Notamacropus eugenii: one gene and its partner. The main gene of each other region encodes a partner of the protein of the gene in region 2 in a complex. Links are inferred from orthologs where the notes say so. Each region holds a gene or a part of one and is shown on either strand. Other genes may lie near its edges.

Region 1 (9,060 bases), about 79 Mb from region 2:
CTGGTCGGGGCAGAGCCTGTCTTCCTAACCTGCGCTGGCACTCCCTTAGGGCTCCCCTTTGACTTAGGAGGTTCTCTCCCCACCCTGGGCTCTCAAGATGGGCGAGTATAACGAGAAGAAGGAGACGTGTGGTACCATCTGCCTGAAATACCTGCTCTTTACCTTCAATTGCTGCTTCTGGGTAAGATGGACCAGCGCAGAGGGAGGGGGAAAGACCAGGGCCAAGGTGGGGGGCAGACGGAGGACAGCAGGGCAGAACTGCAGTGGGAGGCTGGAGCAGTCTCCTAGGACAGAGGGGAGACTGATGAGTCAGTCTGCAGAGGGGGAGGGTGTCCCTGCTGCTTTCTTGCTTTGGCTCACAGAGCTGGGGGGAAACCTGCATTTGCCTCCCTTAGGCAGTTACTAGCTAGCAGGGGCTGTTAATTTCTTGTGCCTCAGCTCCTTCATCTGTTAAATGGGGATCTCACTCACCGGGTTAAATGCTTTGGAGAAAGGGGGCTATAGGAATGTCACCCTGCTGTCCTTTACCATTCCTGCTCCCCAGGTGAGCCTTCTACCTCTAACTCCTGGACACTTGTGGCCCAGCCATGATCTCAGTACAGAGATGTTACTGTCCCCACTTGACAGATGAAGCAACTGAGGTTTCTTGGGACCCCCAGTGCCACTGCTGATTTGCCTGGGGTCATGGAATAGCTATGCTGGGGCTTCCCACCTGGGTTCCTGATGGGGTCGGGGGAATGAGGTGGGCTTTCTTGACACTCCTTCATGTTGGCCAGGACCAAAGCCCTTGTATCCATTGGTACCTCCAATGTGGTGGGATGGAGCAGGGGCCCTGAATGGTAGATGTCTGTGTTCCCACAGCTGACTGGCCTGTCCGTTATGGCTGTGGGCATCTGGACACTGGCCCTCAAGAGCGACTATATCAGCCTCCTGGCCTCCAATACTTACCTGGCCACGGCATACATCCTGCTGGTGGCTGGAGCTGTGGTCATGGTGACGGGTATCCTGGGGTGCTGTGCCACCTTCAAGGAGAGGAGGAATCTCCTTCGGCTGGTGAGTCCCCCCCCCCCCAAGGTCCCTTTGGGGACAGGAAGGGAGGGGATTCCATGCCACTGAGGGAGAACCCACTGTTGTGGCCGAGGCCAGCGGGCCACCACCTAGTTATGGTTGGCCCTTTTGGAAGGGGCAGATGGCGAGGTGTCTGGGGGTAAGTGATTGTTCAGCAGAACCCAACTTTGTGACCCTGTTTGGAGTTTTCCTGGCAAAGATGCTGGAGTAGTCTGCCATTTCCTTCTCCAACCCATTTTACAGATGAAACTGAGGCCAACAGGGTCAGCTAGTAAGTGGCCACAGTTGAACTGGAGGAGGTGGGTCTTCCCACCTTCAGGCCTGGTGCTCCATGCACTGTGGCACCCCCTAGCACCCTCTGTCCTCCTCCTTTTGGGTTAGCCCTAACCTGGGACACTCCCTGCATGTCTCCTCTGCTCCGCCCTGCCCCGCCCCACCCCGCCCCACCCTCGGCTGGGGAAGACTTCGTGGTGTCTGGAGACTGGAGGCTTTTGTCTGCCTTCCCGGGGTGGGGATGCCAGGAAGGAGGCCTTTGTCTGCCTTCTCTGGCTCAGGTGAGCATGAGATCATGAGAACTGTTATTCAGTCCTGGGTGTGTCCAGCCTTGCGTGTGTGCCCCTGCCCTGGGGCATCCTTGGGGGCACTCCTCTCTCCCTCCCTTGGACAGGCTTTGGCTTCATCCCTTCTCTTCCCCCCCCAGTACTTTACCCTCCTCCTCCTCATCTTCCTGCTGGAGGTCATCGCGGGCATCCTTGCTTACGTCTACTACCAGCAGGTGAGTTGGGGGAAGGCTGCTAGGCCCTGGTGGTCACTGGGACCAGAGGAGGCTTTTCCAGCAGCTTCTCAGCTGAGAGTTTGGGGGTCCTCAGAGGGGAAGGGGCTGTGGGCTGGAGCTGAGCCCAGGCCTTCCTGGCTCCCAGAGTGGCTTTACCCACCAGCCCACGTCACCTTGGTGCCCAATCTGGCATCAGTGTGCCCAAGGGACAGACTGAAGCATGGAGACCAGAACAAGGGAGGGAGGAGTGGCACTGGCCCATGGGCTCAGTGGAGCTGCCTCCCTGGGGATCTGGGTTCATGGCCTGCCCCCTCCCCTGCTTCTAGCTGAGCTCTGAGCTGAAGGACAACCTCAGGGACACCATGGTCCTTAAGTACCACCAGCCTGGCCATGAAGGGGTGACCACGGCGGTGGACAAGCTGCAGCAGAAGGTTAGTGTCCGTAGCTGACCCCTGGTCCTCGCCGCCTGCCTCTCCATAACCTTGTTCTGGGCCTTCCCCAGCAACAACCCCCCCCGCCCCTGCCCCGGCCTTGGCCCCCCTCCAGCCCTGGCCTCCCCTTTGCCGCCCACTTTAGTTCCATTGCTGTGGGAGCAACAATTCTGGGGACTGGCAGGATAGCGTGTGGATTCGGTCTGGGGAAGCAGAGGGCAGGAAGTTCCCTGACAGCTGCTGTAAGACCATTGTGGAAGGCTGTGGGCAGCGAGACCATGCATCCAACATCTATAAAGTGGAGGTAGGTGGGGGCTGGGGCAGGGGGAGGTGGAAAAATGATTGTCCAAGAGTGCTGTTTGCCACCTTACACACCCCTGACTGGCCTGCCTGGGGGTCCTGGCCCCAGAATTCCTTGGAGGCTGTGTGGCTCAAGGTGGCATTCAGGGCCTTTGGACCTCCTCCTCAGAAGGCTTCCTTCCCCAGGGAGGCTGCATCACCAAACTAGAGAAGTTCATTCAGGAGCACCTGAGCATCATTGGGGCCATGGGTCTGGGCATTGCTGGTGTGCAGGTGAGACCCGGGCCAGCTGGGGAGGGATGGGGGGGGTGTTGTCAGCCCCCCTACAACCTCCTTCCTCTGTGTCCTCCCCAGATCTTTGGAATGATTTTCACCTGCTGTCTGTACAAAAGCCTGAAGCTGGAGCATTACTGAGGCCCTTTGGCCTGGGGCAGGGTGCGTTCACAGGGGCGTTGTCTTGCCCACCGCCACACTAAATTATTACCACCTTTCTCTCTCTTTTTGTACTCAAGCTACTCACGGCAAGTGTGACACTACTCTGGAGAACCTACTGACTGGGGGGAGGTCTGAGCCCCAAACACTGACCCCCCTCTGGCAGTCAGGCTGGGCGGCAGCCTATCCCTCCTGATCCACCGGAGGCCCAGCCCTGCCTCGGCAGGGATGGAGCTGGGAGGATCTCCTTTTCTGGGCCCCTTGGCTTAGGGCTGGGGGCCTCCTTGTCTCTAGGCTGACCTCATAGGCCCAGCCCTGTGTTCCCTCCGGTGGGTTCAAGTGCCCTGAGCTGGGCCCCAGTTAGACTGTCAGTGCCTTCTGTGTTAGGGAGGAAGGTGTGTCCCCTCCCCTTGCCTGGGGGAGGCTATGGGGGAAGGTGCGGGTGCCCAGGGTCCCTGCAATCCTGAGGCTTGTCCGGGCTCCCACAGGGCCAGTTAGAGATTTGGTTGCGAGTGGGAGGGTTTGGACCACCGAGGTGCCTTCCAACTGTCTAAGACTTGGGATGTTTAAGTAAAGCCCTCTCTTGGCCATCCATCAGCTGGTCCTTTTCTTGGGGGTGTGGCTGGGATGGGGGGAGGGTGCCCCCTTTGCCCTCCCTGCCACTTGGACTGGCCATGTCCAGGACAGAGCAAGAAGCAGAGTGTGGTGACAGTACCAATGCCCACATGCATTACTAACTGCCCACACATCCGATGTCCTGGAGGAACACATGTTCCTAACCCCCAAGAGGCCTGGGGCAGGGGTGGGAGGCCAGGCCGGAGGCTGGGTCCCAGTGGGCTTGGGATGCCCAGCAGCATGTAGCGGGCAGGACGGTGCCTGTGAGGGGCTGCGGATTGGTGCCAGGGGGTAACAAGACCGAGATCCGGATCCTGACTCCGGCCACCCGCCTGCCGCCGCATCTGTAACCGCCCCTCCCTCCCAGGGCCTCCGGCCCGGTCCCAAGGGGGCGAGACGGGGTGAGAAGGAGCGTCCGGGCTCCGCGCAGCTCCTGGAGGGAGGGGCCCTCGGCGCTTCGCCCAGGACCCCTGAGGGTCTTCCCCGCCCGTTGGTTTGGTGTTCTGGATTGAAGGGGCCACGCACGGAGTCACTTAAAGAACGGGTGTATTTCGCTCCCAGGGAGACGCGCTGAGGCTGGGCCCCGGAGGGCCGGGGTCTCCCGCGGCATCCCGGCCGCCTCGGGCCCAGCTCGCCCAAGCTCGGGCCCGGGGCCCGGGCCGCTCACTTCTCCAGGGGCGCGTAGTTGAGAAGCTTCTCGATCAGGTCCACGTGGGCCAGCAGCATCCTCCGGCAGCAGTAGCGCTTCAGGCCCAGCGCGTCCAGGGCGTCCCTGCAAAGGACGGTGAGGTCGGGGGCTGGCCTCTCCCGGTCCGTGCCCCCCCCGCTGCCTTGGCTGCAGGGGTCCACTAGGACCCTCGCAGTCCCTCGGGGGCGCCTACCCTTCGGTGTACTCCGCCTGCAGCAGCCCCAGGTAGGCCTCCCACTTGTTGCCCACGATCTTGCCGCACGTGAAGCAGCGAACCGGGATGATCATGGCGAGGGCGAGGAGACGGCAGCACCGGCGACGAGACGTCCCTTCTCTTCTGGCCCTCCCTCTCTCCGCCCCGCTTCCGCTTCCGGCGCCGAAGCCCCGCCCCCCCGGCCGCTCCCATTGCCTCGAATGGGGGGGTAGGCTCAGGAAGCGGCTCGGCCCGGCTCCGGGCTTTCTACGCGGGCCCGCACCTCTAGCCCTCTGCGTCCGGGGTCCCGAGTCGCGTGGTTTCTAGAAGCCGCGGCGGCGGCACGAGGGTGGGTTCCGCTCAGGATCTCCCCTCTGGAACGCCGATGGTCTCGCCCGAAGCTACGGCGGCCCGCGCAGGCCAAAAGAGCCTGGCGGGAGCCCGGGCGCGTTTCTCGCGCTGGGTTTGAGTGACAGCTGGGCGGCGGCGGCGGCGGCGGCGGCGGCGTCTGCACTTAAGAGTCCCAAGGCGAGGCCGAGCCTAAGCCGCCGCCGTCGTGGCCGCCTCCGCCCGCGCGTACGTAGCTCGCTCATTCTCTCTCAAGGTGGGCTCCGGGAGCTTCCAGAGCCTGGCCGACCACCCCGGCCCTAGACGGTGCAACTGGTGGAGGCGCCGCCGCCTGGAGCGCGCGCGGTGGCTGGAACCTGTTGCTTGCGGAGCGCCAACGGGGCCACGGGCCAGGTTTTGGCCCCGGGACTTAGGGGAAACTTTCCGTCTTGGCTGGCTGGGGCTCGGGGCTACGGGGGATGAGGGGGAGGAAGGCGGCTGGCCGCCTCTGGTGCCGACAGCCCTTCGTATTTTCTGTGAGGCTCGGAGTCTGGGGAATGGACGTGCTGACCTCGGGGACCTCCCTCCACCTTCTCCAGGACTGGGTTGACGGGAGGATCCCGAGTTCTCCCTGCTCCGGCCCCTGCCCCCCGGGGTCATTATTGTGGCCTGCATCTCGGGTTCAGGAACGTCCCCCCATGGCCGGGGGAGGCTCCGTTGCTCCTCCTCGTCCCCTCCCCCAACTCGCGTACCAGCCTGGCCCGACCCCCGGAGCCGCCCCCCACCTCCCGCGGGTCCCCGCTGGCTGATTGACTTCAGATGCACGAGGTGGGGGGGCCTCCAGGCCAGTCCCACGAGGTGCCCCGTCCTCTTTGGGGAGCTGGAGCGGGCGGCGGCGCTGATGCCGGACTCTGCCCTGCTTTGCAGGCTAGCATCTATCCCTCCCTGTCCCGTCAGGTCCAGTCCGGTCCAGTCCAGCCCAGTGCGTCCTGCCCCCTCGTCCCGTACGATCCTGGCGGGATCCCAGCCTGCCGCTCCCAGACCCGCGGGAGCCTGCTTGGCCCGAGGGGCACCTGAGCTCCTGGGCTCAGGTAAGTGGCTTCAGATCCCCCCCCGGGCAGCTCAGGGAGGAGGAGCCGATGCCCCTCTGCCCCCTCCCCCTCCCTCCTCTCCCCTCTCCCCATCTCTTCTGCCCCCTTCCCTCCGGGCATCCCCAGGCGCTCTCCCCCAGCCAGCCAGGAGGGTCCGCCCTTGGGTCTGCACATAGATGTGGAGGGGGACCCTGACGGCACCCCGGGATAAAGCGGGGTTAAAGGTGGTTTCCTGGGCCTGAGGGGGCAGGGTAGAGACCCTAGTCCCGAAAAGCGGGGAGATCACAGCCCGGTTCTGAGCCGAGGGTAGCGCAGAACCCGGCACTTGGTTTTCGGGAGGTTGCTTGCTTCCCTGTTCCGGCCCAGCCCAGGCCTCCTCGATGGGAGTATCTGCCCCCGCTTCTAGTTCCGCTCTCGGGGACCTAATCCCAGGCCACAACTGGGGAACCCCTGGGAGGTGGGGAGGGCCGACATCTGTTCTAAGCCTCGGGGATCCTGGCGCCAGAGGAGGGGCAGGGATGCCCCATAAGGCTGGCTATTGGGGGTGGGTGGGGGTTGGGGGGCCCTGGCTGCCTTGTGCCAGAGCAGGGCTGGAAGAAGCCCCGGGACAGGCCAGGAGGGAGGGGGTCTCTGAGGGCTGGGCTTAGCCTTGCCATCTGCTTTTTAATGACTGAACCAGGCTCCAGGATTTCGGGGCCTGGAAAATGCTAACCCACAGTGGGGGGGGGCCCACAGGGAGGGCTGGGGCTGCCGACCTCCCTCTCCTCAGTGGGATGCTTAGCTGGCTGCTGGTTTCTGATCTGTGGAGATCCTCAGGCAAAGGCATCACAGGATGGAGAAGATGCAGGGTTAGGGGGCCCTTGGCCTGCTTAGTCATGGGGGGGCTTGCAACTGGGGGCATGGCTTTCCTCCCTCAAAGGGGCATTATGGGTCCCTTAGAGGGTGGAGGTGGGGGCAGGACTGGACTTGAGATTTGAGGGCTAGAAAGGATCTCACTTTATTTGCTCAAGCCCCTCCTTGTATGGGAGGCCAGACAGGGTGAAGGGACTTCTCTAAGGTCATCTAAAAGATAGGGGACATTCTGTTGGACCAGGGTCAGCCTTTATGAAGGGCCATGCTCTCCCTCCCTCTCTCTCCCTCTCCCCTTTCCTTTCCCCTTTCCCTGTCTTCTCTTCCCCCAGGCCTTCCACCCCCTGGGGGGCTCATACTGGGAGGGGGGTAGATCCAGATTCCCAGGCATTCAGTCATTCGCAGCACCTACTATGTGCCAGCAAATACATGCTAAGAGTCACATCACAGAGATGGGGATCCAGCGTCCCTGCTTCTGTCTAGGAGAGACCACCCACATGCAAAACAGGAAGGACTAGTTCCCTGCCAGCTCTGGGGAACAGATACAGGAAGACACATACAGAGGAAGGGGCAGGGGAGCCTGACAGGCAGCTGGCCATCCCACAAGGGGGGAATGAGGAGAGAGAATCTTCCAGGCCTGGGGGCCAGCCAGTGCAAAGGGGTAGGGGTTGGAGCTCATGTGGTGTACCTGAGGTGCCAGTTTTCCTGTGGAGTTACTGGAGCCTGTTACAAAGCAGGGAGGGAGGGCCTTGCCCTGCCTCTGATGCTGCTGGGACACACTTTTTAAGTATTTCAGCCCCTAACTGGTGGGGAGTGACTGGTCAGACTTACCCTCTGGGGTCAGATATGTGGAAAGCGGATTGGAGAGGATCAGAGAGGGTGCTGGAGGCAGGGAGAGACCACTGCTGAAGTATGGGGAGGGGGGAAGTCAGGGAGGTCCTGTGCACTGGTAGAGGGTCACAGGGGCAGCAGGAAGCACCTACTAATCGCTTGCTTCATCCTAGACACCAGGATGCAGCTAGAGACAGACTAAGCATGATCTGTCGTCTGATTCCATTTTTTGGGGGGAGGGTGTAAGAGGAAGAGTTCAGAGCAGCACCAAGTATGGATTCTGGGAGCTGTGGGAAGGGGGAGAGTGCCGTGGGGGGTATCATAAACTCCATCTGCATCTGCCTGGAAATGCCTACTGGCCACCTTGGTGAGGGAGGCTTGGAGCTCAGGAGCCCAAGGGAGCAGATGAAGGGCCAGAGAGAGGGGAGTGCAGGGCCTGACCCTGAGCTTGCCCTGCCCCATGCTGTCTGGTGGGTTTGGGGGCAGGGCTGCCCCTGAGGTCATCTCTAGACAAGACTCCTCTGGGGTCCTCCTCCCATGCTGGCCCCCCCCAAATGCCCTTGGGGGCTGTCTTCAGACTGCAGCAGGCAGGGAGTTCTCACCCACCCTCCCTCCATCCTCCAGTACTTTGCCAGGCTCCTGGGTCTGGGGAAGCAGCCATTCCTCTGCTGTAGAACCTTGGACCAAGTGGAGCCCAAAGCATTCCTGTTTACCATCCTGCTTTCTAGCTGCTTCATTGGCCTGCCCTGATGGGTGTAGCCCAACCCTGGTCCCCCAGATGCACAGCAGTACACACCCAGGTCAGGCCCTGACAGCAGGCGAGAAAGCCTGGGAGAATGTTCCCAACCCCGACCCTCCTAGGACTGTGGGGGTGGGCAGCTTTTGGGGGTTGTAAGTCCATGGAGCATCCACGGAATGCCTCCCATGTTTGGGTGTGGGCTAAGCCCTTACTGAGGGAGCTAGAGGCCAGGTGGCTCCCCGTGAGGACATGCAGAGGCTGGTTCCAGTCACTGTGCACTCCCAGGGATGGAGTGGGGGAGGATCTGCAGCTACAACCCCCAGCTTCCTTCCTGGAAGACCCCAGTCTACCCCTCCCCGGGTGTGCATCCTGTTTTAAGGACCCCCATCCCTCCCCCCGCACCGATCCCCGCTCGATGGATCCTCTTTCCTCTTCCCTGCCCATCCACATCCCCATACCGCCTCTTGGAGCCTCAATTTTCCCAGCCATGGAATGGGAAGGTGGGGCTGGCAGGCTCCTGTGTCTCTGAGCCTTCTCTGGGCTTTGCAGGATATGGCATTTCTTAGGAAATTGTGTTCTACAGCGCATCTTGGCACACTGCCTGCCACAGAGCAGGGTAAATAAATGCTCCTTCCTTTCCCCTTCACATGGTCCCTTGCACACAGGCATGTGTATATATGTGCATGTGTGAGTGTGTGTAAGTATGTGAGTGTGCACATGT
Region 2 (10,762 bases):
CTTACGTTATTGTCTAGTTCTCCCAAGATGTCTCCTAACCCACTCAGAGCTCCGTATCTGAGCATTTTCAAGAGAAGCCATGAGCAGAACCATAGTTCCTTGTTGTCATTTTTCCCTTTCCAACTACCTTTTATGCAACATATGTAGAGTATGGGGTTGGGGTCTGTTTCATTCGAATTCAGCAAGCACTGCCACCAGTTTGTGGCTGCGCTACAGGCACAGAAACTGGTGTGTATGGCTTTTCTTGGCAACTTCAACTCACATGCTGGGGGAATGGGAAGTGGGAGGCAGACCTGTTTTGTTTTGCTGGATTGGGAGGATGGTAATTGAAGTGCATGCATGGCATCTTGAATACTAGGAGGGGTATAGACTGTCTGCAAGTGGCTACAGCCAAGAACAAGATCCCTTCAGAGACTGGCCAATCCCAAGTCCTCATCTCAGGGCCCCTTGGGAAGCCGCCTCATCACTAATGACTAGCAGATGTCACTCCCTTATTAGCAAGGGTTCCATAGGAGCAATAGCCACAATCCCTAACCATTTCACTTGATGCTCAGGTGCTTTGTGGGCATCCAAGATTATTGACAAAACTAGGCAGCATCTATTCCTAGGAGCTGGCTAAACCCATTGGCCTTTTCTCCCCATGACTTACCCCTTGTGGCTTGATTCCCATATAGCCTAGTTCAGGTGCCTTTAATAAGTTCATGGCTTCTGATGTTTCAACTGCCTACTGGACATTATCCACATAAATACCACCATTCAGTCAGGGCTCATGAGAGCTGCCCGTAGTTTTGGAAATCCAGTCTAGAGTTATAACAAAGGGTAAATAAAGATCCAGGCCTCCTCTAAAATCTAAATCCAAAATGAGCTGGGCATATTTGGCAAGAGGATTCTGTAGTTCGTGGATCCATAGGATAGAGAACAAGGGAAAGCTGGGAGAAGGGGTTTCACATCCAGTGTATCTATCTGTATTGCACAGACTTCCTGTTGTCCTCCACACATTCAAGTGTTCTGTTGTATTTTTAAAGTTTTTCTGTTGACCACATGGTCAGTTTTGGAACATGCCTTCTCTACTAGCTTTGACTACTGCCTCAGTGGAACGCTTTATACTTGTGTGTGGTTGGGGCCATGAAGGGAACAGTTGTATTTATTGTGTTGTGGTATTTTTTAACATCTTGTGATTTCATGCTAGTTTTTTTATTGTTTTTAGAGCCTTTTTGTAGAAACATTAACTCTGAGGCATATTTCTGCATGTCAGTAAAAAAAAAATTGAGTTTGATACACAACTTTAATATACAAGCTGCCTTTCTCATACTATATGCTACTACACATGGCACCTCAAGGCTGTTCTTTATGCTGTTTGTCCTTCCTCCCCTTTCCTCACTGACTTTGGAACACACTCTATTAACCAGATACTATTGCAAACGGTATGACAGATCTTTTCACTGCACAGCTGACACTTCAAAAAAGCAATCAAGAAGGCTGTGTTGGCATTTAGATCACAACTCCACACCCACTGATGTTTTCTTAGGAGTCTTTTAGGTAGCCAGCCTGTTCAGGAATCATAAGACAATTTTTGGATAGAGTGAAGCATCCCCACAAAGCAACCCATCTTGCCATCCAGGTGTTGTCTCCACTAAGTTGCTGCAAGATAATTCAGTCCATCTGAACTGAATCCAATTCATCCATGAAGCGCCGACATTTTCCCATTAGAACTTTGATGGCTTCACTCACTAGAACCTCAGGAGGCAAGACACCTGTTGATTCCACTGAGACTGTAATGTAAATATATTTAAGAACTTCAGTATGCATGCTAGGAATACAAATAGAAAAGAGACCCCACCTGTAAAAAGCTCAATTATAGAAGACAATATACAGTATTAAGCTGCAGGGAGAAAGGAAATCCTTTTGCCAGGTTGTGGGAGAGTGGTTTTCAGGCTACTCCCATATCACTTTTACTTCCCCCTCCCCAATACTCACATATGTAGTGATCCCGTACTCGGGCCAGCCGCACCAACTTCTTCAGGTTTTCATGACGAAAGATCTCTCTGCTGAAGGTATCCAGACGGGGGTTGGCAACTATGGCTACTTTCTTTCCTGATAAAATAAACCACATTACCAGTTCTGTTAGAAGAAGCAAAATTGATTTAATTAAGCACATAAGCACGATCGGAGCTCTAAGGCCTTCTTCAACTGAATTATATGTGTTCAACACTTTGTAATCATGCTTCATAAATGTTCCAGAGCAGGGTGTTATGATGAGAAATGAACGATATTACAATCATTAGATGCCTGCTATGAACAAGATGATGTAAGTTTAAGAATCCTGAGGGAAAAAAAATTATCTTTCAACTGAGAAGTGTCTTCAAGGTTTTTAAGACATGGGGATGTGAGCATCCCTTTCTACAGATACCTTTGACATCTTGCACCTGAATAACACCAGGTGAAAAGCATCGACTCAGCTCCTCAGCTGCTTCCCCCTCTACTGGCTGGAGGAGAGTGATATCTGGCAATAATCTGTAACTGGCAGTGGCTACAGGAGAAAATTTTGCATGGTCTTTGCCTGGAGAGGAAAAGCAGAGATACCCCTTATCAACCCCCTCATCTTCCATGCTTTACACTGCACTACCATTAACATTTCCAATCCAAAAATTTCAGGGCCCTTTCCCCCCACCCCCAACATAGTTGGACTAGCACCCAACAATCCTTACCTATGCCTTTAACGCAGTGCATGAGGAGGTCAAGCTCTTGGCCAGGACGTAGCTGAGCAATGAGAATGTCATCATGCACAGGACGAATAGTGCCTTCTGGGAAAACATCCGCTTGGTTTCCCAGGGGTATCCACGTCATGTGTTTTGTGTACACTACAGGATGAGACGAAGAATGTCAGTTAAAATTTAGGAGGGAAGTGTTACTGAGGGCCTAGATGGCCTCTGTGGTTAGTTCTAAGCTCTTAAATTTATGGTCTAATAATAGTGGCAGATACTCCTCCCACTTCCTCAAGCATCACTGGATTTACAGCTATAAAAGACCATATAGTTCAAACCATTTAAATTACAGATGAGTAGACTGGGGCTTAAAAGCTAATTTACCTAAGATCATATAAGTAAAGGAGCTGGATTTGCACCTTTGTTTCCCTGACCCTGTCATTACTCACCTTTGTGATTGAGATAAAGTTCATTGGGATCAGAGGAATCTTTGGCAGCTTGAGGATTACGGGTACATTTGACCTTCAGCTGAAACTGCAACGTATCTATCTCAGTGCCATCTTCATCACCTGCACATGACAGAGCAAGAGCGCCATCACACCAAGTCACAACCTCTCCCCTCTACAAGCCTCCACTCTCCTACCTTGGTTCCGGTACTCAAAAAGCCGGGGGTCTGCATGAATGGGAATGAGTCCCAAACGATGGGCCAGTATCTCATCCTGAACGATGGATGTGTTGTTGTACACAAAGACTTTTTCCACAGCCATGGTTGGAACCTAGATACAGAAATGATACTGATCCTTAGAAAGATATATATATATATAACACAACAGATCTTCTCCTCCACCTATGTTTCTAAGGACTGACTACTTTCCAAAAAAGAACCTGGGAGGGAACAAGCATAAGCAACCACAAGGAAATAAATATACAGAGCTGCAAAAAAATGAGCCCAAGTAGTTCAATGTGGCTAGGACAGGGTGGTTCCCTCCTGTCAGCTTCTCTGCCCTCCTGCCCACAACACCGTCACTATCGCCGTCACCACCTCAGCTAATAAGATCCTCCGAAAAGCGTTGGCAATGGCAGCATCAATCCCAACCATATCAAATTCCAGCGAGCTTTCATCCATGTGCACCACATCCACGCGGAACTCCTGAAAGGATGGGGGAGCAAAGGGTCTGTGAGGAAAAGGGCCCTAAGATTCCCACATTCCCTTCCCGGCGCAGGCTGGGTGTTTGGGGCCCCTGCCCTCCCAGGGCCTCCCGTCACCAGCTCCCCCCCCCACCGGGCCTCCCTCACCAGCTCCCCCCCCACCGGGCCTCCCTCACCAGCTCCCCCCGCACCGGGCCTCCCCTCACCAGCTCCCCCCCCCACCGGGCCTCCCCTCACCAGCTCCCCCCCCCACCGGGCCTCCCCTCACCAGCTCCCCCCGCACCGGGCCTCCCTCACCAGCTCCCCCCCCACCGGGCCTCCCCTCACCAGCTCCCCCCCCCACCGGGCCTCCCCTCACCAGCTCCCCCCCCACCGGGCCTCCCTCACCAGCTCCCCCTCCACCGGGCCTCCCCTCACCAGCTCTCCCCCCCCCACCGGGCCTCCCCTCACCAGCTCTCCCCCCCCCACCGGGCCTCCTCTCACCAGCTCCCCCTCCACCGGGCCTCCCCTCACCAGCTCCCCCCCCCCCCCCCGCACCGGGCCTCCCTCACCAGCTCCCCCCCCACCGGGCCTCCCCTCACCAGCTCCCCCCCCACCGGGCCTCCCTCACCAGCTCCCCCCCACCGGGCCTCCCCTCACCAGCTCCCCCCCCACCGGGCCTCCCTCACCAGCTCCCCCCGCACCGGGCCTCCCCTCACCAGCTCCCCCCGCACCGGGCCTCCCCTCACCAGCTCCCCCCGCACCGGGCCTCCCCTCACCAGCTCCCCCCCCCACCGGGCCTCCCCTCACCAGCTCCCCCCCCCACCGGGCCTCCCCTCACCAGCTCCCCCCCCCACCGGGCCTCCCCTCACCAGCTCCCCACCACCACCGGGCCTCCCCTCACCAGCTCCCCCCGCACCGGGCCTCCCCTCACCAGCTCCCCCCCCCACCGGGCCTCCCCTCACCAGCTCCCCCCCCCACCGGGCCTCCCTCACCAGCTCCCCCCCCACCGGGCCTCCCTCACCAGCTCCCCCCCCCACCGGGCCTCCCTCACCAGCTCCCCCCGCACCGGGCCTCCCTCACCAGCTCCCCCCGCACCGGGCCTCCCCTCACCAGCTCCCCCCCGCACCGGGCCTCCCTCACCTTCTCGAAGCGGCTCTGGTCCCACGCATCATCGTAGCCGCAGTAATTTCCCGGGAAGTCCGTGGTATGAACCTAAAGCAGAGGTGCACGTGAGGCTGGAGGCCGGGACCCTTTCCTCCGTACGGATCCCGGCCCAGTTCGTCACTCGAGCCTTACGTTTCGGACCCCGAATTCCCCGAGCACCACGCGGCTCCGCATCTCCTCCACCGCTCCGGAGGCCGCCATCCTAGCTCCACGTGACAACCGGGCGCCCACCGCGCACGCGTACAAGCCTTCTCGCGTCGTCGCCGTGGCGACAAGCGGCCCCTACGTCTCGCGAGACAGAGTGGACCTGCTTGTTTCCACGTCTACAGCTTCCGGGTGGAGTCGCCTAAACATCCGGTCGTCTTCCTTTTGGAGCATCCCACGGTGGGGGGACGCCCGTCTCCCCGACTCCACCTTCACTCCCGGGGGCCGGGCCCTCCCCCCTTCGCGCAGTAGTTGCGCGAGTCCGAGTGACGGGATCCTTCGAGGGACATGGCAAGCCCGGTGGCCCCGGCAGGAGGTACCCGGAACGGGGCCTCCCCAGAGTGGGGGGGCTTCGAGGAGAATATCCAGGTAATGGCCCTAGACGCCTCCCCGGACTGGGCGGCCTGAAGGCCGACAGATCCCTCGCGGGGTCCTCGTGGCTGCCCCCCGCCTCCGAGGACGCAGGTTCTCTCTCCGCGTTTGCGATCTCCCCCTTCCAGTCCCTTGCCGGGTGCTGGGGTTTAGAATTGGAGGCGCACCTTGGAAACCATGCAGTTCAGTGCCCTCGTTTTACAGAGGAGGAAACAGAGCCAGAAAGGGAGGCCACTGAGGCAGGCAGAGCCGAGGGATTCATCTGCACTTCCAGCCTGAACCTGCCCCTTGGGCGGCCCCTGTTTCTCCTTCTCGGGCCCTTGTGGAGCTTGGAGCTGGAGACCCCCCAGCCGGGAAGTCGGTGGCCAGGCCGCAGCGTGGCCCGAGCGCTCGGGCGAGCAGTGGGCTGGCCTCGCCCTGGCCACCCAGGGGGGAGGATGAACTCGCTCCTTCAGCACGTTTGTTCGGAGCCTTTAGTATACATATATACTCAGGGAGATTCAGAGAAGTTCGAAATTAAGTACTTGCACCTAAGGAACCGTGTCAATTTCAGAGTAGATTCCAGGCAATTCCATGAAAGATGCCGGCCAAATAGAGAAAAAACTTTCCTCGGGATGAAGGACAAGGAAGTGTATGATACGTGTACAGATTAAGCAGATGGAAAGTCGTTGCGGAGATCAGACAGCATTTAAACTGGACCTCGAAGGATAGCAACCCAGGAAGGGACGGCATTCCGGGTGTAGAGAGTGCTTCGACATGGGTGGAAACATACCAAGAATGTATTCTGGAACTTAGGTCCTAGGGAGCAACAGCAGAGCATGGGATCTGATAAGGGAGCCTCTTTTGCCTCTGTTTGTTGAGGGGGAAAGGTTGGGGGAGAAAATGTTCTTGGGGAACTCATTCTCTGTCCTCAATGGAGAGAAAGAGATGGGTAGAGGACAAGAAGCGAGTTTGTCTGGCTGGAAAGTAGAACTTGAGCCTGAGAAGTCTCAAAATTTTACAGCAAACTGCTAGAGTTGGGAGAGACAGAAAGGTTCATTTCAGACAGAATGCTCACTATGCACTATGCAAAATGCAAGGCACTGCCCTTGGCATTAGGGACACAAAGAGAGAAATGATACCGTCCTCATCCTCACAAAAATTTCATTCTTATTGGATGGAGGGGGGGATGTGGTTAAGAATAGATTTTTAGTTTTTGTAAATAAAAAGTAATTCTAAGAGGAAGAGGGCTAATAATTAAAGGGAACAGAAAAAGAATCAAGGAAGTGACAGCTCACTTGAGCTTTGAAGGAAACTGGAGGTATAGCAAGCTGGAGGCAAAGAAAGAGGGCTACCAAACATGAGGTGCAATTGTGCAAAAGTTACAAAGGCAAGAAGTGCAATGCTATGGAAATAGCAGTCCAGTTTGTTGTTAAAAGGAGTATATGAATGGGAATAATATGAAATAAGCCTGGAAAGGAAGGTGGAACCAGATTGTGGAGGACTTGAAATGCCAGCTGGATTTTTTGTACTGTTTTTAAGAGCAGTAGGAGAGTTTTGGAGCTCTTTGTGTCTGTGTGTGTGTGTGCATGCATATGCACGTGTGTGTACTCAGAATCATAACTAGATCTACGTTTTAGGAAAACCACTAAGTCTTAACAACTGCGGGACAAAGCCCCTTCCTCATTCCACCCACAACCCCAATCTTCAGATGAGGAAAAGAGGAACAGTGTTATTTAGCTGAATGGATGGATCAGAAAGATCAGTCTGCTATTAGATATTTATTAAATGCTTAGCACAGCACTGGGGAAGACAGCTCCTGTCCTCAAGGAGCTTGTGATCTAATACAGAAAGACAACACACAAAAGGAAGCTGACAGCAGGGAGAGGTACCTGAGGTGAAGTCCCAAAGTAGGAAAAAGAGAGAAAAACTGCTGTGCCTCACGAGCACACACACCTTTCTCTCCTTTAAACAGAAGCCCATGGCCCTGCCTTCCAGACATCAGGGTCCCATCATGGGATGGAGAGTACTGATGAGATGTGAGTACCAGGCAGAGTCAGTCTGGTTCAGATACAAACCATTCCTTTGACCAGCAGGGTGGAGGCTCAGCAGTGATTGACATGGAGAACATGGACGACACATCAGGATCTAGCTTTGAAGATATGGGGGAGCTTCACCAGCGGCTCCGTGAAGAAGAGGTAGATGCTGATGCAGCTGCTGCTGAGGAGGAAGATGGAGAATTCCTGGGAATGAAGGGCTTCAAAGGACAGCTGAGTCGACAAGTGGCTGATCAAGTAAGTAATACTGAGCTTCTAGCAGGCTAAGGAGAAGCAAGGTTCTGTCCCAGCTATTCTATTTGTGTCCCCTTCTTCAAGCAGGATGTATCATGCCAGTCAGATCAGAATCTCCTCTTCTGAAAGATATCTGCAATTTTTTCCATGGAGAAAAAAGCAACAGAGCCTAAAGCTAGTTTCTAGAAACCAAAGTAGAATCTCAGTGGATCAGCTTTATCTCTTTCTCTCAGATGTGGCAGGCAGGGAAGAGACAGGCCTCCAAGGCCTTCAGCCTCTATGCTAATATCGACATCCTCAGGCCTTACTTTGATGTGGAACCTGCCCAAGTTCGAAGCCGGTAAGAGTTTTCTTTCTCCTAGCTGCTCTCCCTGGCCCGGGCCAGGCCCACAACAGCAGCTGTGCTGTCTCTGCTTCCCTAATTCCCATATGAACTCCCTTTGGCCAGGTCTTGGGGGGGTCATGAGTAGAATCCTGATCTTAGGGCCAACTGGGCGCCTGTGAAGGTCACACTCCACCTGGTTCTTCACAAGAGCACACAGGTTCTAAAAGGAGAGAGGTAAGGTGTTTACCTGCATCTCCTCATTTTTCTTCACTTTCTATCACAGTCATTACTGTGCTCAGCCTTTCTCCCAACCCCCTAAGATGAGTACAACGTAGAATGTTAAGAGACTAGTAGTGGAAAGAGCATCTGGGTTCAAATCTAGGTTTTTATACCAAGTAGCTCTGAGATTTGGGGGAAGTCAGTTTACTTCTTTGAGCCTCAGTTTCCTAATTGGCAAAATAGGGAAAGTTCTTGCCCTGCCTACTTATAGGACTGTGTGTTGTGTTTCATAAACTTTAATCAAGACATAAAGGTAGGACTGTAAACTTGAACAAGGCCTTTAGACTCTCAAGCCTTTTTATTCATCCATAAAATGAAAGTGTTAAGCTGCATTGTACATTTCAACTCTAAATACAGTAATCCTAACAGTGATGGGGAACCTGTGGCCTTGAGGTCATATATGGCCTTTACACATCTTTGACAGAATCCAAACATCACAGAAAAAATTTTTCTGAACGGTCAAAGAGCTGTACTTGAGGACTAAGTGGGCCACATATGTCCTCAAGGCCACAGGTTCCCCATCCCTGGTCTAGGGAAAACAGGAGAATCATTTTTCAGTAACATTAGACACCTCCTACCCCCAATAACATAAACACACTTTTAATGCAGTCCACAATTTCGCAGTCCCCCTGCTAGACCTCTCCAAGATCTCCTTATTTCCCGTGGACCCAATCATCCTCAAATACTTTCCCCTCCTGGTGACAGTGAATAGTGGAAGAAAGAGATCCCTCCTAGAAAAAGTTACCCGCAACCCTGCCCTACTCTCAAACCTCCTATCTTATAGGCTCCTGGAGTCCATGATCCCTGTCAAGATGGTCAATTTTCCCCAGGTATGTGCTAATGATCCCTTTTGTCACTTGATGTCCCCAGCACCGTTCCCAAGTAGAAAATGATAGCCCAGGAAGGAGCAGTGGTTAGAATGTGCTGGAGCTTGGAAGGCCTGGGCAAAACCACTGAGAGGAAGGGTGGGAAACCTGGCCCAGGACTCGGGAAAGAGCTCCCAGAGAACAGTTAGGGGCCTGTGAGGGCAGAAGTAGAAGGGAAGCAGTCATTTGAACTTCCCAAGCTGACCTAGTGTCTCCACAGAAAATTGCTGGCGAACTCTATGGGCCTCTCATGCTGGTGTTCACCCTGGTTGCCATTCTTCTCCATGGGATGAAGACGTCTGATACCATTATCGTAAGCAGATGAGGGGGGTGGAAACTAATGGAAGAACTCTCCAGGGTTGCCCTGTTGAGCTCCAGGGTATCACAGATGAAGTGGGAAACCCTGGGACTTGATGGCTTCAGAAGAGCTAACTGAATGGGACTCAGACTCTTGAGAGAGGTGGGAGTGGGAGACCCTATGTGGTTAAATCAATCCTCCCCTCCTCTTTCCCCTACCCCAGCGGGAAGGTACCCTGATGGGCACTGCCATTGGCACCTGCTTTGGCTACTGGCTGGGCGTCTCATCCTTCATTTACTTTTTGGCTTACTTGTGTAATGCACAGATCACCATGCTCCAGATGCTGGCACTGCTGGTAAGAGGGCCTGAGTGGGGAGGGAGGGCAGTAGCAGACAGAGCAGCCTCTCTAGCACTTACCCTTAGCCAGCCCTGGGGTGGAATTGGGAGGTTCTGGGGCCTGCCACCAAATGCCATCTCCTCTTCTCATCCCTCAGGGCTATGGACTCTTTGGACATTGCATTGTTCTCTTTATCACCTACAACATCCATCTTCATGCCCTCTTCTATCTCTTCTGGCTGTTGGTGGGTGGGTTGTCCACCCTGCGCATGGTGAGTGGGGGTGAGGGGTTTGAGAAGAAGCCCAAGTATGGGCACAAATCTCAGTGTGGCTCATGAGTGGGTGGATTCTCCCATCCCTACCCCAACCCACCAAAGTCTAGGACCTGAAGGGAGGTCATTCAGCTCCCCCTCCACCCCTACCCCCCCAGCTGTCCTTCCTGCCCACGATGTTTGTCCCAGGCTGGGCTGGGTTTATTTGAACTGTGACATCTGTTGTGGCCCCAGGTGGCGGTGCTAGTGTCAAGGACTGTGGGTCCCACACAGCGACTGCTTCTTTGCGGGACCCTTGCCACCCTGCACATGCTCTTCTTACTCTACCTGCACTTTGCCTACCACAAAGTTGTGGAGGGTAAGTCATGGGCAGTGTTGGGAGTGATTCTTAGCTGCTTTTTCTAGTTTAGCTCCAGAACAGCAGGGGGAGGGAGGGGGCCCCTGCCCTAACCCTGTTTCCTCCCCTCATGCTCTTCCTTTACTTCCTGAGGCTGTCTCTTGAAGAACTCTGGAAACGGTCAATAGGCATTTATTAAGCAT

The links. The genes of interacting proteins can lie anywhere in the genome.
Region 1: POLR1C (region 2) and POLR2L share a complex: the UniProt entries of both Homo sapiens proteins name them as parts of the pol I pre-initiation complex. The link is inferred for Notamacropus eugenii from reciprocal best matches to the Homo sapiens genes POLR1C and POLR2L.

The regions. Positions count from the first base shown.
Region 1 is NC_092873.1:27,457,804-27,466,863, reverse strand, and holds POLR2L (DNA-directed RNA polymerases I, II, and III subunit RPABC5), read right to left. Parts: upstream 4,691-9,060; 5' UTR 4,598-4,690; coding exon 4,503-4,597; intron 4,394-4,502; coding exon 4,285-4,393; 3' UTR 4,151-4,284; downstream 1-4,150. Other genes in the region: CD151 antigen, read left to right, coding at 98-181, 862-1,053, 1,769-1,843, 2,170-2,274, 2,420-2,578, 2,761-2,847, 2,929-2,988. UniProt on the Homo sapiens protein: DNA-dependent RNA polymerase catalyzes the transcription of DNA into RNA using the four ribonucleoside triphosphates as substrates.
Region 2 is NC_092873.1:106,459,608-106,470,369, reverse strand, and holds POLR1C (DNA-directed RNA polymerases I and III subunit RPAC1), read right to left. Parts: upstream 5,382-10,762; 5' UTR 5,202-5,381; coding exon 5,133-5,201; intron 5,049-5,132; coding exon 4,977-5,048; intron 3,856-4,976; coding exon 3,748-3,855; intron 3,482-3,747; coding exon 3,349-3,481; intron 3,275-3,348; coding exon 3,155-3,274; intron 2,862-3,154; coding exon 2,709-2,861; intron 2,561-2,708; coding exon 2,411-2,560; intron 2,095-2,410; coding exon 1,978-2,094; intron 1,773-1,977; coding exon 1,654-1,772; 3' UTR 1,267-1,653; downstream 1-1,266. Other genes in the region: protein YIPF3, read left to right, coding at 5,493-5,573, 7,649-7,849, 8,080-8,186, 9,235-9,280, 9,537-9,629, 9,838-9,969, 10,109-10,222, 10,457-10,580. UniProt on the Homo sapiens protein: DNA-dependent RNA polymerase catalyzes the transcription of DNA into RNA using the four ribonucleoside triphosphates as substrates.